Linked DNA regions of Drosophila melanogaster. Changing the gene in region 2 together with the main gene of any one other region gives a genetic interaction. Each region holds a gene or a part of one and is shown on either strand. Other genes may lie near its edges.

Region 1 (6,835 bases), on a different chromosome or scaffold from region 2:
TGCAGCTGCAGTTGCTCCCCATCGACCACGCTCGCGGGATAGAAGGTTTGCTTGATCTCCAGCCCGGGCGGTAGGTTGAAAACTAGATTTTCGCCACCACCACCGGCGTCCACTGAGGATGCCTCACTGGCAAAATCGAGCTGCCGATGTTCCTGTTTCACCTGCAGCTGCAGCACGTTCTTAATGTCCTCCTGCCCCGCTCCATTGTCCTCCAGCTTCGTCCAGCAGAGGTTCTGCTGCTGCTGCTGTTGCTGCAGGGTGCTTTGTATCACAGATGAGTAGGCCACCGTGGTGGGTGTGGCAGCAGCAGACGATCCAGCGCCCGCTTCTTGCCGCCTTTGCACAGGGGATGCCGTCTTGTAGACGATCACCTGGGCCTGCGGTGTGCTGACCACGTCCACCGCATGTAAATTCGTGATGGGCGATCCATCTGCGGAGCTTAGCGCCGGACTGGCATATTGCACCGGATAGGATCCCGCCGGAACTGGCACTGCCAGCGGCACCGGACTGGCATCCTGTTGGTCTACTATCGTTGCCCGATACGGCTGGCCATCCTTCCGCGTCACCTTGACCTTCCGGCCATCAATGGTGTAATAGGTGTCCGGTTCTGTGTCTGCCTCGGCGATCTCCTGTTGCAGTTGCTGGTGGAGCTGCTGCTGTTGCTGCTGCGCCGCTGTCTGTTGTTGCTGCTGCTGCTGTTGCAGTTGGATCAGGTAAATCGAGTCGTTGTAGGCTTTTAATTGCTTTTCCTGCTTAATCTGCTACAGCGCACCGTACATAGATTGAATCGGAATCGGAAAGTGTTTGGTTTGGGATTGATTCGACATAGAGAGGCTAGACTTAGTCTATGCTTTGATGGGTTTATTGGAAGGGATGTTATGTTAGTATGCGATAAATGCGATAGAGCCTGCGGGGTTTTAATAAGTGTGTGTGCTTCCCCAGAAGCTGGCGTAAACCATAATAGAAGAGTGATCTGAAAGCCGAACGTAAAACAAACGAATTCTACTCACCACTTTGTCGGCCACCAGGTTTAGCTGTTGCTGTTGCGCCTGCTGCTGTTGCTGTTGGGCCTGTTGTTGCTGCTGTTGTGCCTGCTGCTGTTGCTGCTGTGCCTGCTGCTGTTGCATGGCCAGGAAGGTGTTCGATATCATGTTCGGCGTGTTCCAGGTCAGCGACGTCGACGTCAGGGCCACCGTTGTGGGCGATGGTGAGGCTCCACTCGACGAGGAGTTCTCCCCGTAATAGTTCGAGGCAACATTGTTGACTACAGCAGCCGCTGCCGCCGACACGGCCGCCTGGTTCTGGAACGAACTGAGCTGCTTGTCCAGCGAACTGGGCAGCTGCAGCTGGCGGTGCGGCGTGCTCACCGCTGACGAGGCATAGTGGGCGGGCTTAGGCTGGACACTGGCCGCCGCCGCATGGTGGTAGATCTGCTGGAATACTGGGTTGTAGCTGCCAATCGGTGACGGAGGCACAAAGCTGCCACCACTGGCGGCCGCCGCATTAAAGCTGGCGATGCTTGCTGCCGTAATGGTGGCCAGGTGTGGATGCTGGAAGTCCTCTGCTGTTCCGCCGGAGCTTCCGGCACTGGCGGGCACGATGCGGTTGTAGGCGTATGACCAGGGACTGGAATTGGGATCCATGTTTGGCTTGGGCTCTTCTACTGCTGATGGCTGGTAACTGAAACAAATAGCAAAACTTTAGTGGTTTTTGAATATAATTAGCGGCTTATATGTAAAGGATTAACTAATTGGAGTTTATTATTGCTCGGATACATTTCCAATGGTCATGTGTTAAGTCTAAAAATCCCGCCCATATTTATCAATTTAGCGGTAGCTTAGATTATAACATATTTATATTGTTATCACAAGTTGCTTGCCATGGCATTCATAATATAGAGGGGAAAAAGGCGCGAATTCAATTAATGTTATTTATGGATCAATAATAATTACTATAAAATTATTGATATTTATATGTGGTCAAACATATTTTGTTTATCTTTTATTGTAAATCAATAAACACATAGTAGAAGTACACTTTAGAATGAAACACTCCAGTTTTGGGGTGTTTGTTCCCCAACTTTTCTGCACTGAAGGGATCCCCCTATTTTTTTCGTATCTTCATTTTTTTTGTATCCCTTTTGGCCACGATGCGCTTGGTTCCCCCTTCAAAAAAATTGGCGTCTGTATTTTTTGCCTTGGCGCTCGGCGGCAAGGAGACCGCATTTTTGAAGTTTCAGCGTCAATGGGTTAATGTGGGTGCTCACTTATGACATTACAATGACGGGGCCATCACATTGGCTGGGATTTATGCTGTTTTTGGCAATGTTTTTCTGCCTGGGAATAGGATTTTTTCCCGTATTTTCCGCTTGTACATATATGTATCCATGCACACAATCACACACACACACACACATACTCACACACACGGGCGTACATGCGTGCGTGTTGGAAGATAGTCACTAACTTTTAGTCGTTATAGAATCGGAACTGTCGGTCTGCTCGGGCCCAGCATTATCTTCACATCGGATCGGCCAGCACAACAACGCTTCAATATGCACGAGCGGATTTTATGTTTAACTAACAGCGAACGTTCTTTTTTTTAGATTCGGTGCATAACTTTTTTGTGGATGAAACAATCTCCAAAATGGCCGCTCTGCTGCCAGTGAAAAACGAACCACTGGCTCAGGTGAATGATGCCACGGTGAACTTGTTCATCGGTTCACTAGTTCGCGCGCCGAGTGTTTATTGTTTGTTTTGCCGTCGTCCTCGCATTTCGTCTTTGTTAATTTCCTCAAAAAGTATACTGCGTCTTGTGTTCTTCGTGGCATAGGTTAGTCAAAAACATAATTAAGTCATGTTGTGTGAACAATTCACCGTGAAATTTGACCAGCAATTATATTCCCATGTGCTATGCAATAGCAACAAGTGTTGTATAATACGCTTTTTATCGGGTCTACAGTCATTACTAGTTAACTTTGTTGTGTATTTACATTTTACGAGCATTTATTAAGGCACATTTGATAAGATATAAACAAATTAATCGTAACTCCTCTGAAGGTTGTGTTTACTGAACTCGCGCGTTTCCTAACACTGATCAATTGGAACTAGTTGATTTCAAAAACCATGAGAACTTTACAAAATCTGAAAACAAAAAAAAAAATAAAATAATTCCAAACTTAAATATTATATTAAATCTAGGTTTTATTAACTATATGTACGGTTCTAAATTATATATGAACGAATCAAGCCACCACCATTACACATTTTGCAACACTAATTGACCAGAAACCCAGTGGAAAATTGACGCTGCTGATATAATTTAAAAGTTTAGTTAAGGAAAAATTAAATGTTCTTACTTTGGTTTTTTCAACATACATTATCATAAACTTGTAGCTTAATAATACAAAATGTAGCTAAATCTTTAACTCGTTATCCGTGATGTTAAGGAATGTTGAATTCGGCTTTGACAAGTAAAATAGTTAACAATGGTTTCTGTTCCTTAAATATTACTAATTTGTATACATTTAAAAGATTTGGCATAATAACTGGTGTAAAAAAATATTTATTTTTTAATATAAAAATCATAACATTAAATTTAAAACCATCGCGTTGCGATATATGTTGCATTATCCAGCACTGTTCGGCTGGAACCAGTTCGATAGCCCGCTGTTTTATGGTTGGTTCACGTACTAATGACAGTCATTTTACGTATTCATTGCTAAAAGAAAACTGAAAAAATACATTTGACCAAGTTTCCGGTTAGTCATCCGCCCACACCGATCTTCAATTAGTCCTAACCGAATCAAAGGAGAGGTGCGTAGTGCCCAATTGTCAATGAATCGGGGGGAATCCGCCAGCAGCTGGCTGCTCCTCTGCGTACGTGTAAATCTGGGTGAGACGCCCACTAAATAGCAATCACAACATTTCCAGAGAGCACATAGCCATGGACTTCGGAGACGATTTCGCTGCCAAGGAGGACGTGGATCCGGCGGCCGAGTTCCTGGCGCGCGAACAGTCAGCTCTCGGGGACTTGGAGGCGGAGATTACGGGTGGATCTGCATCAGCTCCTCCGGCTGCATCCACAGACGAGGGCTTGGGTGAGCTTCTGGGAGGCACCGCCTCCGAAGGCGATCTGCTCTCTGCTGGCGGCACGGGTGGCCTCGAATCCTCCACTGGCAGTTTTGAGGTCATTGGTGGCGAGTCCAATGAACCCGTGGGCATATCCGGTCCGCCGCCGTCGCGGGAAGAGCCCGAAAAGATACGCAAATGGCGCGAAGAGCAAAAGCAACGACTGGAGGAGAAGGACATCGAGGAGGAGCGAAAAAAGGAGGAACTCCGACAGCAGTCCAAGAAGGAGCTGGACGACTGGTTGCGCCAGATTGGCGAGTCCATATCGAAGACCAAACTGGCGTCGCGGAATGCCGAGAAACAAGCCGCCACCCTGGAGAATGGCACCATCGAGCCGGGCACCGAATGGGAGCGCATAGCCAAGCTCTGCGACTTCAATCCCAAGGTGAACAAGGCGGGAAAGGACGTCTCCCGCATGCGATCCATCTACCTGCACCTCAAGCAGAATCCCATCCAGGTGCAGAAGAGCACCTAGGTAGTTTTAATTACGCACTCGCCTAACCACATTGAGTTGAATATGAAAATTATTATTGAAAGTATTCGCTGTATATTCCAATTTATGATACATAAAATATTATTATTGCTGCTATAACATAGCCGCGATCATCGTTTTGTCTAATGAATGCAATAAAGAATGTGCACACAGTTGTCATGCTTTCCTTGACTATCATATACCCCATCACACAAAATAAGAAAAACGACATGAAAAAGTTAGGAAAAAGAACAAATAAAAAATAAAACCAAGGATATGACAACTAAAGTGTTTTTTCGTTCATTTTGTTAATCAAGCAGGGTTGCACATCAAGGGGCTTTAATTACTTCCAGTTTTGTTGTAAATAATATTTATTGCTCTATAAAACGCATTATACAAACCATTTATTATTCTTATCTCTAGTTAGTTATACACATACAACTTGTTTTCATCATATATGTGTGTTGGAAATATCAATGGGTTGGAAATGGAATATGGTTGTGTATGGATTTGCATTCATTAAATGATTATTAAAATAAAGACATACAGACAACTGAGGCAAGTATTTGTCATTGCAGAGCTGGTTTAATGTATGCATTATATGAATGAAATACGCATAAAGAAACCAATTACGATAATGAAAAGTGGATATCAGAAATCATAATTTAATTATTTCCATCGCTTAATAAGGTTTTCTACTTGTTTTGCAGAAATGGCTGAAGTTTCCGCTCAAGATTTGATATCCCAGTTGTCGAAGTCACCCGAAAGCCACAAGAGAAAGGAATATCTGCATTGGGATGACTACTTTATGGCCACCTCACTGCTCTCCGCCAAACGCAGCAAAGATCCCGTCACCCAAGTGGGCGCCTGCATCGTGGATTCCCAGAATCGGATAGTGGCCATTGGATACAATGGGTTCCCTCGCAACTGCAGCGATGACGTGTTTCCGTGGTCAAAAGCTAAGAAAGGCTCGCAGGAATTTGATCCCCTGGAAGACAAGAAGATGTACGTGGTCCACGCGGAGGCCAATGCAATCCTGAACAGCAACGGCATGAGTTTGTCTGGAACTCGACTGTATACCACACTATTTCCGTGCAACGAATGTGCCAAACTCATTATACAGGTAAAACTAATATTAACGAAGGAAGCCGAATATAGGATTTCTGTTCTATTATTTGAAATGCAACTTTAATATTTTCATATGGCAGCTGTATAATTTAGTCGTCCTATTTTGATAAAATGAAAAACGAATTAATATATGGAAAAACAACGGTTGTGTACAAAATTACACCAATATATGATCACAAACATGGAAGCACAATCTTTCCAATAGTTTCACGGCTTCAAAAAGGTTTTAAGTTTTTCGTTAAAACGAAAGGACGACCAAACGGACGGCAGCTTTATGAACTCATCTTCTAAAATTGATCAAGAATATATAGTACATACATATCATAACATATAAATTAACCTATTTGTATTCCAGGTGGGCATATCTCAGGTGCTATATTTGTCCGACAAATATGCCGATAAGCCCACATATCGTGCATCCAAGCGGATGCTGGATGCAGTGGGCGTGGAATATAAGCGACACATCCCCCAGAAAAAAACGATCACCATTGATTTTGACACCTTCCCGGAAGAAGATCCGAATGCATCCCTGGGACTAAACGAACTCCATTTGTAATGTACTAATACAATCTTAGCTATCTTGACAACTTTTAATGTGTTTAAAGTAAATTTGACGTGATCGGACTAAATATGTAGACAAATGATAAATAAATTTAATAGCATGCTAATTAAGTTATACTTAGTTTGGCAGTACTAATATAAATAAAAAAATACAGTTTAACTAAAAAGCAAAACGTAAAACGATGTTCTTTTCTATCTGTGAGTCAGAAAAATGCTTCGGAAAATGAGTTCCCTGTAATCGATATTAAAATCAAAATCCAGTAAATCATTGAATCTGACCACTTCCTTTGACGTTTGTTCAAATATGTTCGTAAAAGTATAGTCAAAATCAAAAGCAGAACTTATCTAGATCCCAAAACGTACATATTCTAACCTAATAGGGAATAAAAAACAATAGTTTTTCGTTGAGTATTGCTCCTTTTTTGCAGAGCATAAACGATTAGACGCTTCATTTTATCCGCACGCAAAGATACTTAAAATGTTTTTTAATTAGTACCCATTTGGGAAGAGTGTTCACTTGCACTAATTGACTTGGCAAACAGAA
Region 2 (7,077 bases):
TTACGTATGTGCGTCGACTTTAGAAAACTTAATAAAATGACAATGAAAGACAACTATCCTCTACCTCTTATAGATGACTTGTTAGATAGAATGAATGAGAAAACTGTTTTCACCAAACTCGATCTTAAAAACGGTTTTTTCCACGTGCATGTTAAAAAAGAATCAATAAAATACACCTCTTTCGTTACACCATTAGGCCAATACGAGTGGCTGCGAATGCCATTTGGCCTCAAAAACGCCCCGTCTGTGTTCCAAAGATTTGTTAACAAAATTTTTGCTGATATGATTAGAGAAAACAAAGTAGTAGTATATATGGACGACATTCTATTGGCAACCGAAAATATAAACGAACACTTAGAAACGTTGAAAGAAATTTTTAAAAGATTAGTTGAAAATAAACTTGAATTAAGAATAGACAAATGTGAGTTTATGCAATCGAGTATAAAATATCTTGGGTTCATAATAAATAAAGACGGCATAATGCCCAATGACAAAGGAATCGAGGCAATAAAAAATTTCCCAATACCTAATAATGCTCATACAGTACAAAGTTTTTTGGGATTATGCTCATATTTTCGACGGTTTATAAAAGATTTTTCTAGACTAGCTAAACCATTGCATGACATTCTAAAAAAAGATAAACCGTTCAAATTTGGTAGTGAAGAAATGATTTGTTTTAATATGTTAAAAGATAAATTAATACAGTCACCGGTCTTAGCTATATACAACCATAAACACGAAACAGAATTGCATTGTGATGCAAGTTCTTCTGGATTCGGTGCTGTACTTATGCAAAAGAAGGAGGACCAGAAATGGCACCCAGTTTCATTCTTTTCAAAACGGACAACAGATATTGAATCAAAATACCACAGTTTCGAGTTAGAAACTTTAGCCATTGTTTATTCGTTACGTAGATTTAGAGTTTATCTTCATTGGAGGACATTTAAAATAGTCACCGACTGCAACTCATTAATTTTGACCCTAAGCAAAAAAGAGCTAAACCCTAGGATAGCCAGGTGGGCTTTAGAATTCCAAGGTTATGATTTTGAAATTGTGCATAGGGCAGGTAGCCGCATGCAACATGTTGACGCACTGAGTAGGTGTACAAATATTATGGTAATACAAACAAACAGTTTCGAAGATAATCTAGTTATATGTCAAGGGAAAGATACAAAATTAAAAGAAATCAGGCAATTGTTAGAAAACACAGAAAATAAATTGTATGAGATGAGAAATGGTATAGTTTACAAAAAGACAAATGAAAATAGATTGCTGTTCTACGTTCCGATAGAAATGGAAGAACAAGTGTTATACAAATATCACAACGAACTTGGACACGTAGGAAGAGACAAAATGATAGAAGCTATAATGAAAAACTATTGGTTTCCAAATTTAAAACAGAAGTGTAGCACACATATCAGCAACTGTTTAAAATGTATTTCATTCAGTCCCAAAACAGGAAAAACAGAAGGATTTCTACACAACATACCTAAGGGAAACAAACCTTTTGAAATAATCCATATTGACCATTATGGTCCAGTAGACTTGGCTAGACCGAAGAAACATATTCTAGTGATAGTAGATGCATTCACAAAGTTTGTCAGACTATACGCAACAAAAACTACGAACACAAAAGAAGTCATACAATCGTTAAATGACTACTTCAGAGCATACAGTAGGCCTAAGTGTATCATATCAGATAGAGGAGCATGTTTCACGTCTGGCGATTTTGACTCATTTTTGAAAGAATGCAATGTTAAACACATAAAAATTGCAACAGGATCGCCACAAGCCAACGGTCAAGTTGAACGTATAAACCGAAGTCTTGGTCCAATGATTAGCAAGTTAATTGAACCTGATCAAGGTCTACACTGGGACTTAGTCTTAGAAAAGGTCGAATATACCCTGAACAATACACTACACCGCAGCATTAAACAGTATCCTAGCATAATGTTATTTGGGTTACAACAAAAAGGACAAATTATGGATGAGTTAAAAGAAAAAATTGAGGAAATTGGAGAAACGATTGAAGAAAGAGATTTAGAAAGTATTAGAAATAAAGGCGAGGCAAGTCAGAAAATAGCACAAGCATACAATAAAGAATATGTTGACAAAAAACGAAAACGATCAGGAGTGTTCACAAAAGGCGACTACGTCATGGTTAAAAATTTTGACTCAACAACAGGCATAGCTAAGAAGTTAATTCCAAAGCATAAAGGACCCTATGTCATAAGCAAAGTTCTCAAAAATGATCGCTTCCTTCTGGAAGATGTTGATGGATTTCAAATTTCTCGCAATCCTTACCGGGGTGTATGGAGCATACAGAATATAAAACACTGGCAAAGAAAAATTAAGAGTCTACAAAATAGAAAGTATAATTTGAGAAACTCTGTACAAAATAGAAAGTATAATTTGAGAAACTCTGTACAAAATAGAAAGTATAATTTAAGAAACTCTGTACGAAATAGAAAGTATAATTTAAGAAGCAATTGTAAAACAAAGAAAACAAACAAGAAGAAAAGAAAACCAAAAAAATGTTTAAGACCGTTCAAAAGTATCTCCACTAAGAAGAATAAAATAAGAAACAGGACCCTTAGCTTTAAGAAACGTTAATTGTTATAAAATCCTACGATCGGGAGATCTAGTTGTCAGGACGGCCGAGTTGTAGTAGGCTGCTCCTTCTACCCTCTTCCTTTACTCTTAGTCATACATACCTAATTATACATAGCCAATCTAGTCATAAGCTTATACACTCATACACCCATCCTTAACATACAAATATTATCGAGAAACTTATCGACTAATCGACTCGCCACTCTGCAGAGAGCGCGGCAGTCAGTCGCTGTTGAACCAAGCTAAAGGACAGATCAAAATAAAAGAGACACGTGAAATTGTATTAGAATATTAACTTCTGTAAACGGCGGCTAAAATTGTATTTTTTCTTATAACACACTTCAAAATAATTTCAACAGCCCGTTCATAAGGTACTAAAAAAAGATTTTACCATCCCTTTCGATGTGTTTTTTTCGATATAACCAGTCTCTGCCATCCATTGCTTTTTGTTTGTGCCGCAAGCTTCCAGTATTTATAAATTTCTGGTATCAAATTTCTGACGATAATAATAATAATATAATAATAATGGTTTTAATAAATTTATTAAAAATTAATTAAACTGGTTTCTTCCGCAACTTAGCTGACTTGGTATTAGAAATTAGGCGATAATCAACAAAAGTGGAAAACAAAAGTTAAGAATAGCTGTTAAAATAATGACGATTACCCGCTTCAGTGCTATTGCAATCAATATCCAATAAATAAGGAATGCTGGCTTAACAGATTTCCCGCGTGTTCTCAAATAAATTATTTACAGGCCAGGTATGGCTGCTCCTCTGCAGTTTGGCTGCTTTTGCGTGATGTGCTGGGTGCGTTGGGCTCAGAAAGCGAAACACCAAATAAATTGAAACTTTCGTTTGCACGCTACAGTTTTTACTTTGACGGAAACGATGCTGAAACGTCGAAAGCCGCATTTCCTGAGTAACAACGTGCTCTACCTAAGATCATTCATCTTCTGGTCGAATGAAACTGGAAAGTTCAACATTCAAAACAGAAGTAATCGATACCATAATTTGCATTAAATGAACCACAAATGAGAGATGAAAAATAAGATGATAAAGATTCGTCTAGAGATCTTTCTGTCTTTCTATTCTGCTGGGTAACGCTTTCTGTGAGCGGTCAATGCGACGATTACCGGCAATTCGATTTTCTCATCGGGCGTTGGCAAAGATATTACGCATACGCCTCGGTCACGCTAACGACAATCCAATAAGTAACTAATAAAGGAAAATTGGCCGACAAAAAGCTGAAAGAAACAATTAGGAAAATTGTAAATTGCGTTTTCAACTCAAACGCGGCCGCTAAAGTTCACGTCCGCCGCTACTATTGCCGCTGACAATGGAGCTCTGGGTGGCTAACCGAGCATTGCTCGTCGACGCAAATCGCTGCGCTCTGCTCGGCAAAACTTTCACTTTCAACTCGACTCGGCCAACTACATCGCTTTGCGCCTCTTCTCCAATACTCCTGCCTAAATCCACGCTATCGCTTCTTCCTATGACTTGGCTTGCTTGCAGGTGGCCATGAACCCTATTCCTAAAGATTACGCGGTCAGCAAATCGATTTATTGCTAGAAATCGGGACAAGGGCACAGCAAATACCTGTAAATTCTTTAGTGTTTTTCTTTGTTTCCAAAACATAGTTGCCAATTTTTCCATGATAAAATTGATTAGTATTAACCGATTTATTTTTATTTAATGATTGCAAAACTGTGCTACTAAATGCAATAGGTAGTCTTAAAATATTTCGGAATATCGACAGAATCTGGCAAGACAATTGTGTTAATTGTTCCCGAGACGAGATGTCATGCTGGCCAAGGTACTTCCTTAAATTGAAAATTAACTTCGCAAGACTAAACGTTATTATCGCCCTTTGTTCAAATTTGTCATGCACATAGAAATAATTACTAATTGTGCTAATAGCTGACACTTCAAATGAAAATGAAACATTCATTCGGAGGTTTATAATTTTTAAAGAAATCGAATAAAATGTACTCCCATTTGGACAAAACAGAATTTGTTTCGAAGAGCTTACTTTTACAATAGGTAGGCAAGCTTTACTTTCATTAGTATTTCAATAGTTTTTCGGAGAACCATTTTAAATAATTCTGAGAACACACTAGGCAAACAAGATAATTATACCACCTAATAGACCATGCTCATTGACAATCTCGATCGCATACCGATTCGACAAAGTTACCCTAAGAGCGTTAAAACTAGTTCCGAACTTGAACTGTACGGACTTTCAGGACTCTTTTCAGCCGTTCCGTCCTCTCCGGTCGGGAGACTTTGACAGAGTTGACACTGCAGTTAAATTTGGACAGCGGTCCGTCTTTTGGGTCACTGCTTACCGCTAAGAATTACGTCACTAACGCCATCTGAAGATTGTAGCGATGAGTAAGAGGCGGAAGCCAAGACATTCATCTCGAGCGTAGCCCACTGTTGCGGTCATAAGCGTCGCATAACAGCGGCTTGGGGACGAGTGATGAAATTTGAAATGCAGTCTGCACTTATAGTTTCCCTTGATTCGATTCGAGTCATGCAGAGAGCGATGTCTTTTGCATTCGGAATCCACTTAATCACGGGCTTACAGCCACGTTGCTTAGAATAGCTGCCCCGGCGAAACCAGCTCTCTCTGTGACCTAAAGAGGGGGAGGCTCAATTGGGCTTCCATTAACTTCTTGGGGCCCCTGTCAGGTGTCAATCAAGTCGAGTTTGCTCTGCAACGCGTCGGATATTGTGAGGCGGGCATACAACAAAGACTGAATTTAAATGGCGGCCACGCCTGCAATCGCTCACGCCTCCAGCTGGAGAGGTTGAACCCAAATCAAAGGGGTCGGTGGCACAAGTACACTGCGAGAATGAATATGATTCTTTCGGGGCTCAGCTCATACTTCAATTTACACGTCCCAGAGGGATTTGGACGTGGCCAGGGCTCGACCGGTACAGATATTACACATCAGCACAGCTACTTGGTGCTCCCCCTAACTCAGATTTTTTCCCGTGTAGCCCGCGTAGGCAATCGATTGTAATCGACGACGACGACGTTTTCTGTGCCTGCCAGCTGGTGCAGTGGCTGTCGCCACTGCCATGTGCGAAATGCAAATGCGAGGGGCGGCTAACGAAGCTAGTGCTGACTCGACCCGTAATATTTTACTTTTACTTTTTATGATTAACATTTCCCACCCAAGGTGGAGGGCCCAAAACGAGCTCTTTACTTATCCACACATTCGTATTTTCGTGGCGGACGATGCGCAATGAGATGAGAAATGCCGAGATCGTAACTTCCAAGATAGCTCGCCGCCGCGATGCCCAGCGTTAAATTATGTTTTTGTCTTTTAATTAACATTACTCGTGTTAGTCGCTTCCCTGCGCCCACCAACCCCCTCCCACTCGCCTCCCTTCTGGCACCGCTCCCACCTACCTACTTGGCCCTGGGTGTCGCAATTGAAAGTGAAACTCTGTTTCCTTTCGACTGCCAGTGGAGTCACAGGTTGGTGGGCCGATCTGGTCTCTTTGGGGGCCAACGCACGAGCTGAAGTGTGAAATGTGAAATGTGTCATCGTCTGGAGTGCGCTGTCCCGAGAGCGGATCTTCTAGGGCTTCCAGACTGAACAGGTTTCGTTGCGGTAGGTCGTACTAAAAGTCTGACACTGAAGACCCTCAAACCAGCCGGCTCGGCAATGGTTACCCGGGAATTACTTAAGAGTCGTATCAAAAGCTCAAAGTTGCGGTGGCCAGGTACTGTTATTGTACCAGCTTGATTGATGAACATCAAATGGCAGATAGTGCGCATACGCACCGTGTTACGCCAGAGACACTCACATTTCTTTAACCAGAAGCTCGATAGGACTTTCAGGGGTGGGCAACGCTCTGCCTCGTCTTCCGCCGAACAGGATGTGGTTCTGATGGTGGGACTCAACGTTTAGTTTCTCGCCAGCGGAGGTGATTTGAAAGCGCGACAGATCGCAGCGCGAACCGAAATACAACTGACGGTGGTTGAAAAGTTTTGCTTGCAAGTAAAAAAGCAGCGAGCTGGAAAACGGCAGAAAAAGTAAAATTATTATGTATACACATGTATGTTTAGAGGCCGATGGCGCAGGCAGCAGCAGACCGAGCGCTGCCAGCGATACTCAGCCAGAAAGCCAGAAAGCCAGACATACGGCAAAGTGGAGCTACGGATCCCGCCCGGTACCGCCCGAGCCCGTCTGTGGCTTCCCCCAACCGCCCCCCAACCGTCCTCCATGCTGCCCAATCGGGCCCAGAGCCGCCAAAGCCGAGGCTAAAACCATCTCCATCTCCGAGCCAAACCAAGGCGAAATTGCTCTCGGTATCAGCAACATTAACTGCGACTGAGTCGGTAAACAAAGCCAAAGCACGCCAAAAAAGAGGCAGCCGAAATGAGCAAGCAATTGCGCAATTGCGTCGCTGCCAGCAGCTCCAACATCAGCAGCAGCGATCGGTGCACAGT
Region 3 (9,251 bases), on a different chromosome or scaffold from region 2:
AACCAATTCCAATGAGTATACCTCGGCGGGAGACTGCTCCGAAATAGCTTTGAAATTATCGAGATCCACCGAAGCGTCCGGCTTTGCCATTTGGCCACATTCTTGAAGCATCCGCTGAGTGAAAGCATTTTCCGGCAGATTTGTACGTTTACCAGGCCATATGATAATAGATTTTCCGCACAAACATGCCAATTTGGGACGTTGGGAGAGCATATAAAGAAAAGATCTCATCGCACTTTTTGGAGTCACTTTTAGGAGTCCGGACAAAAAAGTTCGCCGCTGATAGGAATATATGTCAACTGTCACTGGACGATCCAGTGCTGCACACCGACGTCAGATTTAATAACTTATTTCCACTGTCACATTAACTACCCAACACTCAAAAAGATTTGAAACGAATTTAATATAGCTTCTGAAAAGTTGTTTTATTTCCATTCAGATATTTCGAAATTATTATAGAATCCATTTCCATTTCGAAGTTGCAAACAAACTTTTCTCTTGTCAACCTACATTTATTAGAAAACAAATGGTTCTTATCAATTTAGTTCGAAAGTTCACAAGTGTCTCTTCCCCCCTTGAATGTGTGTCTGAAAATATTTGCTGTTCTGTTTCCATTAAGAGATATTTGGTAATTAAAAAAAAATATATATATTAATTTCTCTAATATAGCAATCTCTGTTAATAATTCTCGAAACAGAAACATGATCGACATACTTTCAAGCACTAATTACTTTTTACAAGGTATTTTATTTAAATTACAAAAGGATGTTAATCATTTAAATTAAATCTGAGACTGCAACGCATTGCGCACACATTTCCCCCAGAGCTTCGTGTGCCGCCTTCCTTTGCTACTTCCATCCTGGTTTTCCGCTCGGGATTACACGACGCGCTTGACCTCGAAGAAGCGTTTCAGGTAGTACACCTGGCCCACTGTCATCAGGACCAGGACGAGGGCTTCGAAGGTGGACCACAGCACCACTCGCGAGTTGGTGTTCTCGTTCACCGAACGATGGATCTTGTCGCGCACCTGAGGGAGTAAAGAAATTGGAGGATTAGTCGTGGATTACTTCACAAATAATGTCAATACTGATTATAACCGATGGTGAAAACATGAGTGTTTGAAAATCGCTACTAGTTATTGTTTATGTGGCAGCTAGCAGCTCCATTCCCTCGAACAAGTCTACCGACTCCGCTCTTAAATCTTGCGACGTGGATCTGTACAAGTAATGCTGGAGGCATGCCAGACTATGTGGCAATAGTTACTCGATTGCTCCCATATTCCATGTACCCCTAATTCTGCTACATGTTAAACTCTTCCAAAACCCCCAATCATGATTATGTGGCAGCTGGATGCTCCATCTTCACCTCGTCTCTTCACTCACATGCATGTACTCCTGTTCGTGCTTGACACTGGTCAGCGTGCCGGAGAGCTCCCGAATCATGTCCTCCAGCTTGGTGTGGCCCACCTCCTCCTCGCCGGGTGCTCCGGGCGCACGTTGCGGTGCGTCACCCACGTCGATGGAGAACATGACCAGCTTGGGGGTCATGCTGCTGCGTTCGTTGTTGAAGCACACGGTGTAGGTTCCCTTGGCGGGGGCCACAAAGGTGTACTTGCCGGACGACTCCTTTTCGCTCTCGTGCATCACATGGTTATCCGGGCCGCTGATCTTGATGTCCACGTCTAGGAAGCCACCGTCGATCACCTCGAAGGTGACGCCTGTAAAGTCACCATCATTTTATCAGCATAGATCCCTTGTCAATTGACCGAAAATCCATATCGCTCACGTACCAAACTTGGTGCCGCCTTCGACGTTCTCGAAGAAGCACTCCTCATTGTGGGCGTCCACGCTGACGATGAAGGCGTGGCTGGTGCGGCACAGGATCAGCAGGCTGCCCACAAGGAGCAGCACCTTGGCGAGTGTCGATTCCATCGTTTGTCTTAGTACTTTTGGCCTGGTTTTAATCGCTATTAAACGCACTGCAGCCACGTAGTTGTAGTCGATTCGATATACTCCGATAGATGTAGACAAATAGGGCATATCGAAGAACAGCAGTTTCCGATAGATTCGGCATCGATAGGTGCACGCGACACGCGATACCGAATTTTTAACGGATCACTACAAAAAACTCACAACTCATAAAAATTCAAAAGCAACATGAATGCCGCGAAATGTTTCGGTTAAAGTATTGGATATCGTAACTAATACATTACTTTATTTATGTGCGTACCTATATGAAAAACTCTTGGTGCATTCCATCACAGTTAGTTAAAGTGTTCTAGTATTTTTGTGCTATGTGTTAATCGGCGACTATCGACAGTTGCCCACCATTAGGAAACAGAAAGCTAAAAAAAAAAATGCAAAAATTGGCCAGAATTTCGGCATAAATAATAGTATCCCTTGCAAAACTTGCAAGCTGCGTGGCAGGACGAGCAGCTGACCACCAGATCGTCTTGAGGATTCAACATCAGGAACAAAGGTTTCACATTGGACGCATTTGCAAAAACCGAAAGGGAAAACTGCCAACTCCCACACACAAAAAAAAAGGAAAAAAAAAATCATCAGCACGGAAAGTAAAAGGTCAAGTGGTCAACCGAAATCTGGGTAATCCGGGGGAATCTTTGCAAGAATGCAGCAGAACTCGGCCAGCAATCCCTTCGCCATGTCCACATATGTGGAGCGGCCCCAAATGGGACTGGACGTCGAATTCGGAGCGGATCCTGCCAGCGGAGCAGCTTTCTTCCAATCCGATGGACGCAAGCATGATGATCTCAAGCAAATGTTGGACAGCAACAAGGATGGACTAAAGCTGGAGGCCATGAAGCGCATCATTGGCATGATTGCCCGCGGACGGGATGCCAGTGATCTGTTCCCGGCAGTCGTCAAGAATGTGGTGTCCAAGAATATCGAGGTCAAGAAGTTGGTCTACGTCTATTTGGTGCGATACGCCGAGGAGCAGCAGGACTTGGCCCTGCTATCCATTTCCACATTTCAGAGGGCGCTCAAGGATCCCAATCAACTTATTCGCGCCTCGGCTCTGCGAGTGTTATCCTCCATAAGGGTCAGCATGATTGTGCCAATCGTAATGCTGGCCATTCGGGATAGCGCCGCCGATTTGAGTCCATATGTGCGGAAAACAGCGGCACATGCCATCCCCAAGTTGTATTCTCTGGACGCGGATCAAAAGGATGAACTGGTCATGGTCATTGAGAAGCTTTTATCGGATCGCACTACTCTAGTGGTGGGATCAGCGGTGATGGCCTTCGACGAGGTGGGTCTGCAGCTAAAGTAAAACATTTATCCTCTATATACGACGGATCTTTATTCGTAGGTTTGTCCGGAACGTGTAGATTTGATACACAAGAACTACCGCAAGCTGTGCAATTTCCTGCTGGATGTGGACGAATGGGGTCAGGTGATCATCATTAATATGTTGACCCGCTATGCGCGCACTCAGTTCGTTGATCCCAATGCGGATGATGAGGATCTGGTCAACGATGGCCTGGGCGAAACGCCCGTTAGTGAACGCTTCTACGACGAATCCTCGCACTCCTCTTCCCACAGCGATGATGGCAGTAGCGATGACGAAAAAAACAAGTCGAGTACGAACAATAAAAACAATGGCGGAGGAAATGGCAGTAGAACACCCAGTTCTCCGAGCAACAGCTACCACATCGATGTGGATCACCGCCTGCTGTTGAGGCAAACGAAACCATTGCTCCAATCGCGAAATGCCTCCGTGGTGATGGCAGTGGCGCAGCTCTATCATCATGTGGCTCCCAAGAACGAAGTGCAATTGATTGCCAAGGCGCTGATACGACTGCTGCGATCGCATAAGGAGGTTCAGAGCGTGGTCCTCAATTGCATTGCCTCGATGTCCACCAAACGAAAGGCGATCTTTGAGCCGCACCTCAAGTCGTTCTTTGTGCGCACCAGCGATCCCACGCACATAAAGCTTCTCAAGCTGGATATTCTCACCAATCTGGCCTCGGCGGGCAGTATTTCGCTCATTCTGCGCGAATTTCAAACCTACATCTCCAGCAGCGATCGTTCGTTTGTGGCGGCCACGATTCAGGCCATTGGACGATGTGCATCTAGCATTAAGGAGGTTACCGAGACCTGCTTGAGTGGCCTGGTTCATCTGCTGTCCAATCATGACGGTGCGTTAAGCTTTCTTTTAGCCATTTGTATTTTAATTTTATAAGTATTCCGTTATTCCATTTAGAACACGTGGTGGCCGAGAGCGTGGTGGTGATTAAGCGTCTTCTGCAAACGAAAGCCGCCGAGCACTTTGAGATTATCACCCAAATGGCCAAACTGATCGATTATATCAATGTGCCCGCAGCTAGGGCAGCCATCATTTGGCTTATAGGCGAATACAACGAGAAGGTGCCGCTGATTGCCCCGGATGTGCTGCGCAAAATGGCCAAATCGTTTGTCGATGAGCAGGATGTGGTGAAGCTGCAGGTCCTAAACTTAGGCGTTAAGCTCTATCTGACCAATCCGGAGCAGACATCGTTGCTGTGTCAGTACGTCTTTACGCTGGCTCGCTATGATCCCAACTACGATGTACGCGATCGTGCCCGTTTTCTGCGGCAAATCATCTTTCCGGCGAGCGGAACGAGCTCGGTGCTCAGCCAGCATGCCCGCCAAGTATTTCTCGCCAGCAAACCGGCTCCGGTGCCGGAGAGTAAATACCGGGATGGCAATAACTTCCAGTTAGGATCGTTGTCTCACTACCTGAACATGCCAGCGGCTGGCTACAAGGAACTGCCCGCCTTTCCGGTGATTCCACCGGATTCATCGGTACGCAATATAGCTGGATTTATGCAGGACAAGCTGCCGGGTGAAGACTCGCCATCCGGACATTCAAAGGATAAATCCGGCCGTGAAGGCGGTAAGGAAAAGGGTGCTGGTGGCGAGAAGGGCTTCCTCTCTGAGTCGGACGACAAGTCTTCCGCTTACTCGGAATCAGGCAGCAGCAGTGGCAGTGGCACCAGCGACAGTGAATCCGATAGCGATGGCAGCGGGAGCAGCGATGAGGAGGAGGAGGAGGTGCAAAAGCAGCAGCCGACCAAGGTTTCCTCGGTGAAGGAGCGGCTTATCGATGCTGGAAGCAATGAGCTGGCCGCTACTTCTTCGCCTGTAAAAGCAACTATAAACAACAATAACAATGCGAGAGGTTCGTCAGGAACATCGGACAGCGAGGATTCATCAGCGTACAGTGGCAGTAGTAGTGATGACAGCGCTTCCGGTAGCGATAATGAAGTGAAAAAGAACGAAACGAAAACGGACACAGGCACAAAGCCGGAGAAGTTGAAAGAGAAGCACGAGAAACAGCCGGAGCAAACGGCTGTCAAGAGCAATCTGGACCTGCTACTCGATCTGGATGACATTCCGCCCATTGGTCCCGTGATGACGCCCTCGTTGGGAGGATTCCTGACGCCTGGTAAGGTGATGCGCATCTCTAAATTGGCCTCTTTATATAATAATTCTTCAATAGGCACACCAATGATGGCTGGACAGGCGGCGCCACTGCAGCCGCAGCACGCCCGCAATCGGGTGGAATTGGTGGGTCCCTCGCACATCGAGTTCAAGCACAAGGAGCTGCTTAACAAGGTCAGTGGCCATGGACTGCATTTGGCCTACCGTTTCACCCGCTCCCCGCATCTGTACTCCTCGAGCATGTGCTCCATTGAGCTGCAGTTCCAGAATCGTGGCGAAAAAGAGATTACGGCCATTCGTCTCGGGCAAACAACTCTGCCGGCGGGCATGCAATTGAATGAGTTTGCGCCAATCACTGTTCTCCAGCCCCAACAAACAGCGAGTGGTGTGCTGGGCGTCGATTTCAATGATTCGACGCATGCTGTAGACCTGGAGCTTCTGTCAAGTGCGGGCAGTTCACGACTGCAATTGAAACCGCCGGTGGGCGAGCTGGTGAGATCCGTCCAGATCGGCGAGAGCTGTCATCGCGAGGAGCGGGCCAAGCTGCGTGGAATGAATGAGCATCAGTGCGAGTTGCGTGGCCTGAGGCAGGACCTAATCGATGTGGTCGCATTGCGGCAAAAGGTTTTCGAGTCCATCAACGTGGCGCATACGCACAGCTCTTCCAGCGGTCAGCTACACTGTTTCGCCGGCCAAACCCTGAGCTCCAAAAGCCTCGTGCTACTCACCCTCGATTGGAAAACAGAGGATGCCCTCACGCTGCTGGTAAACTGCGAGAAAATGGTCATTGGATCCATGGTGCTCAACGAGCTGCGCAATGCTCTGCAGCTCAGTTTCGCCATGTGAGCGATGGACACGAAAGCGAACAAGACGAAAGCGAGCAGCGAACTAACTTGAGGAGTGGAATCCCCTGGAGCAGGGCTACTCAACTGAGAATAAGGCAAAGCCGCCTCACTACGTAAACATAGCATTCATATTTAGCTATACACTTGTAAACGGGCGGGGAGAACGTAATCTTTGAAATTAGCTGATAACATTAGCTGAGATTACAGGTGTTTTAAATTCCATTTTCGAGAGATTATATGTAAATGTGCAGTGTAACAGATGCAACTTAAGTGTTCAAGTGGGATCGAAATCCAAAACTAATTTAAATTGCAATTTCAACTGTAATTATTACATATTCTTTAACTTGTTGAAAACTGAATGAAAAGTGATGCAAACTATTGTGTAAATGCTACAAAACTATATTTATTGTTATACACATTCGCAAATTCTTAATGAAACTTATTGAAATGGGAAACACACAACTTCCTATATATTTGTATCCGCTTATACTGAGATATTTTGCATAAAAGAGTCACCATTTCCTTTTATGAATGGATGAACACAACATGAGATTAGTGTAGCTTTCATATCCAAATCGAAAATTATTCAAGGATTACCAACCGCCCCGCCCAAATATAAATGAAACATGATCCTAACGCTTTTAATATTCCTATATACAAACTGCAACCACAAACAATTCCAGATGAAATGAGATGTTACAATTGATTGAACTCGAATCGTTGCCGATCCAAACAAATCCTATCCTCCAATCCATCCTACTTAGCTAGGCGTGTGTGTAATGTGTGTATGAGTAATCGAAACGTATTTGTAAAGTGTTTGATGTTGTAAATCTGTTGCCTTCGTGCTCTATGCGGCCTTCTTCAAAACGTAGCAAAGACAAACGAATATCGAATCTATATATTATATATTATATTCATACAATAAACAGCGCAAATTCTGGCAAATTAAAGTGAACAAATGAAACGTATTCTAATAAAGAAACAAATCAATCTGTTAATATGCCTGAAACAAATAAGCTGAATCTCCGCATTGAAAAGCTGAAATAAAAGCTTACATTTTAAAATTGAGAACGTCTTACCTGTTTTGGATAAACGAATCAAGTTTAATACACGCTCGCACATGTCAAGTAAAAATGCTTTTTTCAAAAGTTTTCAATTATTTTGATGTTTATTCACGCTTGTTCTTGTTACTTTCTCCACTCACCAAACAGAATATAAGAAGTCAGCAAGGACAAACTTTCAAATGCAAAAGAATCGAATCGAATTCTAATTAGTTCAATTCCTTAAAATTCGAGTTGATTTCTGCATTTATGTATCAATTTCCTGCTGCTGTCGCTTGAAAGTCGGGATTGCTTCAAAATAGCTCCGTGGGAAATTATAGAAGGAGGTTGGACATACTGACATGCTGGGTTATAGAACATACATAACTCATTCCTCAAATCCTACGCTGCTTTCTCCAAATCCAACTGTGTTTTAGGTGTCGGTGTCGGTGTAGTTGTAGCTGTATTTCCTTGTGTTCTAATTTGGGTTCTGCACAATTAAAAAGCTCAATTTCATGCTTATCAATATAAACGAGTTAGTTAGATCGCTAGGTTAGTAATGTTTAGTTTAGTTTTGGATTCGCTGCTGCACTTAAAGATCTCAAGTAGTAGTTTTAGTAGTTGTAGTTTTCGGTTAGGCTAGGCTTTAAGATCAACGGCTTGAAAGTTCCGAGTGATAAGTGAAGAAATATAGGGTTTTGGGGATGCTATATAATGTATGATTAGGGGATAGATAGCATGTATGTATGTACGAATAGTACGAGTATGTACGTATGCATTAATGTAATTTTTGGGTAATATGGCATGGGTATATGTATGCTGTAATAATGGGTTGTGAGTAGTTCTTGACAGGCATATAGTAGAGCGTTTGTATATAGTGTCCTGGGGTAGTATCGTTCTCTTCTCGTTTTCGCTATTCTGTATACACGTTATATAATATGCCACGGCCTTCGTTCGCTTAACTTCATATAAAACTAGTTTTTTTTTTACCATTTTTTTTTTGTTTTGTTTAGTTTTCTTTCTTTTAAATGTATATGCAAGATGTATATATCGATTTATGCAGTATGTGTGTATGTCTAAGGATGATTTTCAATCACTTATTGTTACGTACGGTGTTTGGTATAACATGCTTCGCTTGGACTAGCCCGATGGCCTCTTTCTCCACCTCTCCCGTTTTGTCTACCTTCAGATTTATTAGATCCGGCGGATCGTTCAAATCGTTCTTTCCTTCCCTACTCTCTAACTTCAATAACATATAAAGCATTGGTTTGGTTTTGGTTTTCATCTTTGGGTGTCTTAAATGGGCAACGAAATAGTTATCGCTTATCGCACAAACGATATTTTCGATTATGGCTCGATTACCGAGACTATATAATCGATAAGCATCGATAGCTGCGAAGCGAAGCATTGAGAGGGCCTAAAACGGACGGATTGCTACCGTTAGTCAACGGCTAACCGTTCGATGCCTGTTGTTAGTGCATTTAAGTCGTTAAGTTTTTGTTTTTATCACTCTCTCTTCCTTTTTGTTTGTTATCGTTTTTTTTTTGTTTTTTAATTATCGTTATCGTTATGCATAAGTATTAGCCTGAGGTGCTCCGAATCGAGATCAGTTGTGAGGTCTAGAGCAATTAACTATTATGGTGTTATATCCTAGTTATCCCTTGGAAATCTGGGCTTCCACAGTTTACCTCCTTTCACCGATCTTTCACTCTTTCTTGTGATTTTCTGTGTATTGTTTTGGGTGTTCTTTTTTCCTTTTTTTTTGTTTTGCTTTGTTTTTTTTTTTTGATTACGCCATTATTATGCAGTTATATATGCACTTACTCAGGAATAGCTGTACTGTGTAGCATACAGCTATTCCTGTGCGAGTGTAAGTGCCTTTTTGCTTGTTGCGTGTGTGTTGTGTGTGTGTGAGACGTGAC

The links.
Region 1: of aux (region 2) and Clc, changing one enhances a phenotype caused by changing the other (phenotypic enhancement), as found in Drosophila melanogaster (one study listed by BioGRID).
Region 3: of aux (region 2) and rb, changing one enhances a phenotype caused by changing the other (phenotypic enhancement), as found in Drosophila melanogaster (one study listed by BioGRID).

Annotation. Positions count from the first base shown.
Region 1 is NT_037436.4:20,238,853-20,245,687, forward strand, and holds Clc (clathrin light chain), read left to right. Parts: upstream 1-2,200; 5' UTR 2,201-2,254; intron 2,255-2,266; exon of another isoform or gene 2,267-2,688; intron 2,689-2,710; exon of another isoform or gene 2,711-2,832; intron 2,833-2,992; exon of another isoform or gene 2,993-3,051; intron 3,052-3,653; exon of another isoform or gene 3,654-3,932; 5' UTR 3,933-3,945; coding exon 3,946-4,605; 3' UTR 4,606-4,883; downstream 4,884-6,835. Other genes in the region: CG17233 (uncharacterized protein), read right to left, coding at 1-761, 1,011-1,643; CG6951 (uncharacterized protein), read left to right, coding at 5,315-5,725, 6,086-6,286. UniProt on the Drosophila melanogaster protein: Clathrin is the major protein of the polyhedral coat of coated pits and vesicles.
Region 2 is NT_033777.3:4,208,715-4,215,791, forward strand, and holds the start of aux (auxilin), read left to right. Parts: upstream 1-3,068; 5' UTR 3,069-3,098; intron 3,099-3,193; 5' UTR 3,194-3,201; intron 3,202-6,408; exon of another isoform or gene 6,409-6,600; intron 6,601-7,077.
Region 3 is NC_004354.4:4,533,683-4,542,933, reverse strand, and holds rb (ruby), read left to right. Parts: upstream 1-2,307; 5' UTR 2,308-2,628; coding exon 2,629-3,270; intron 3,271-3,330; coding exon 3,331-4,159; intron 4,160-4,224; coding exon 4,225-5,448; intron 5,449-5,502; coding exon 5,503-6,290; 3' UTR 6,291-7,299; downstream 7,300-9,251. Other genes in the region: CG3568 (uncharacterized protein), read right to left, coding at 22-231; CHOp24, read right to left, coding at 878-1,027, 1,383-1,717, 1,790-1,931.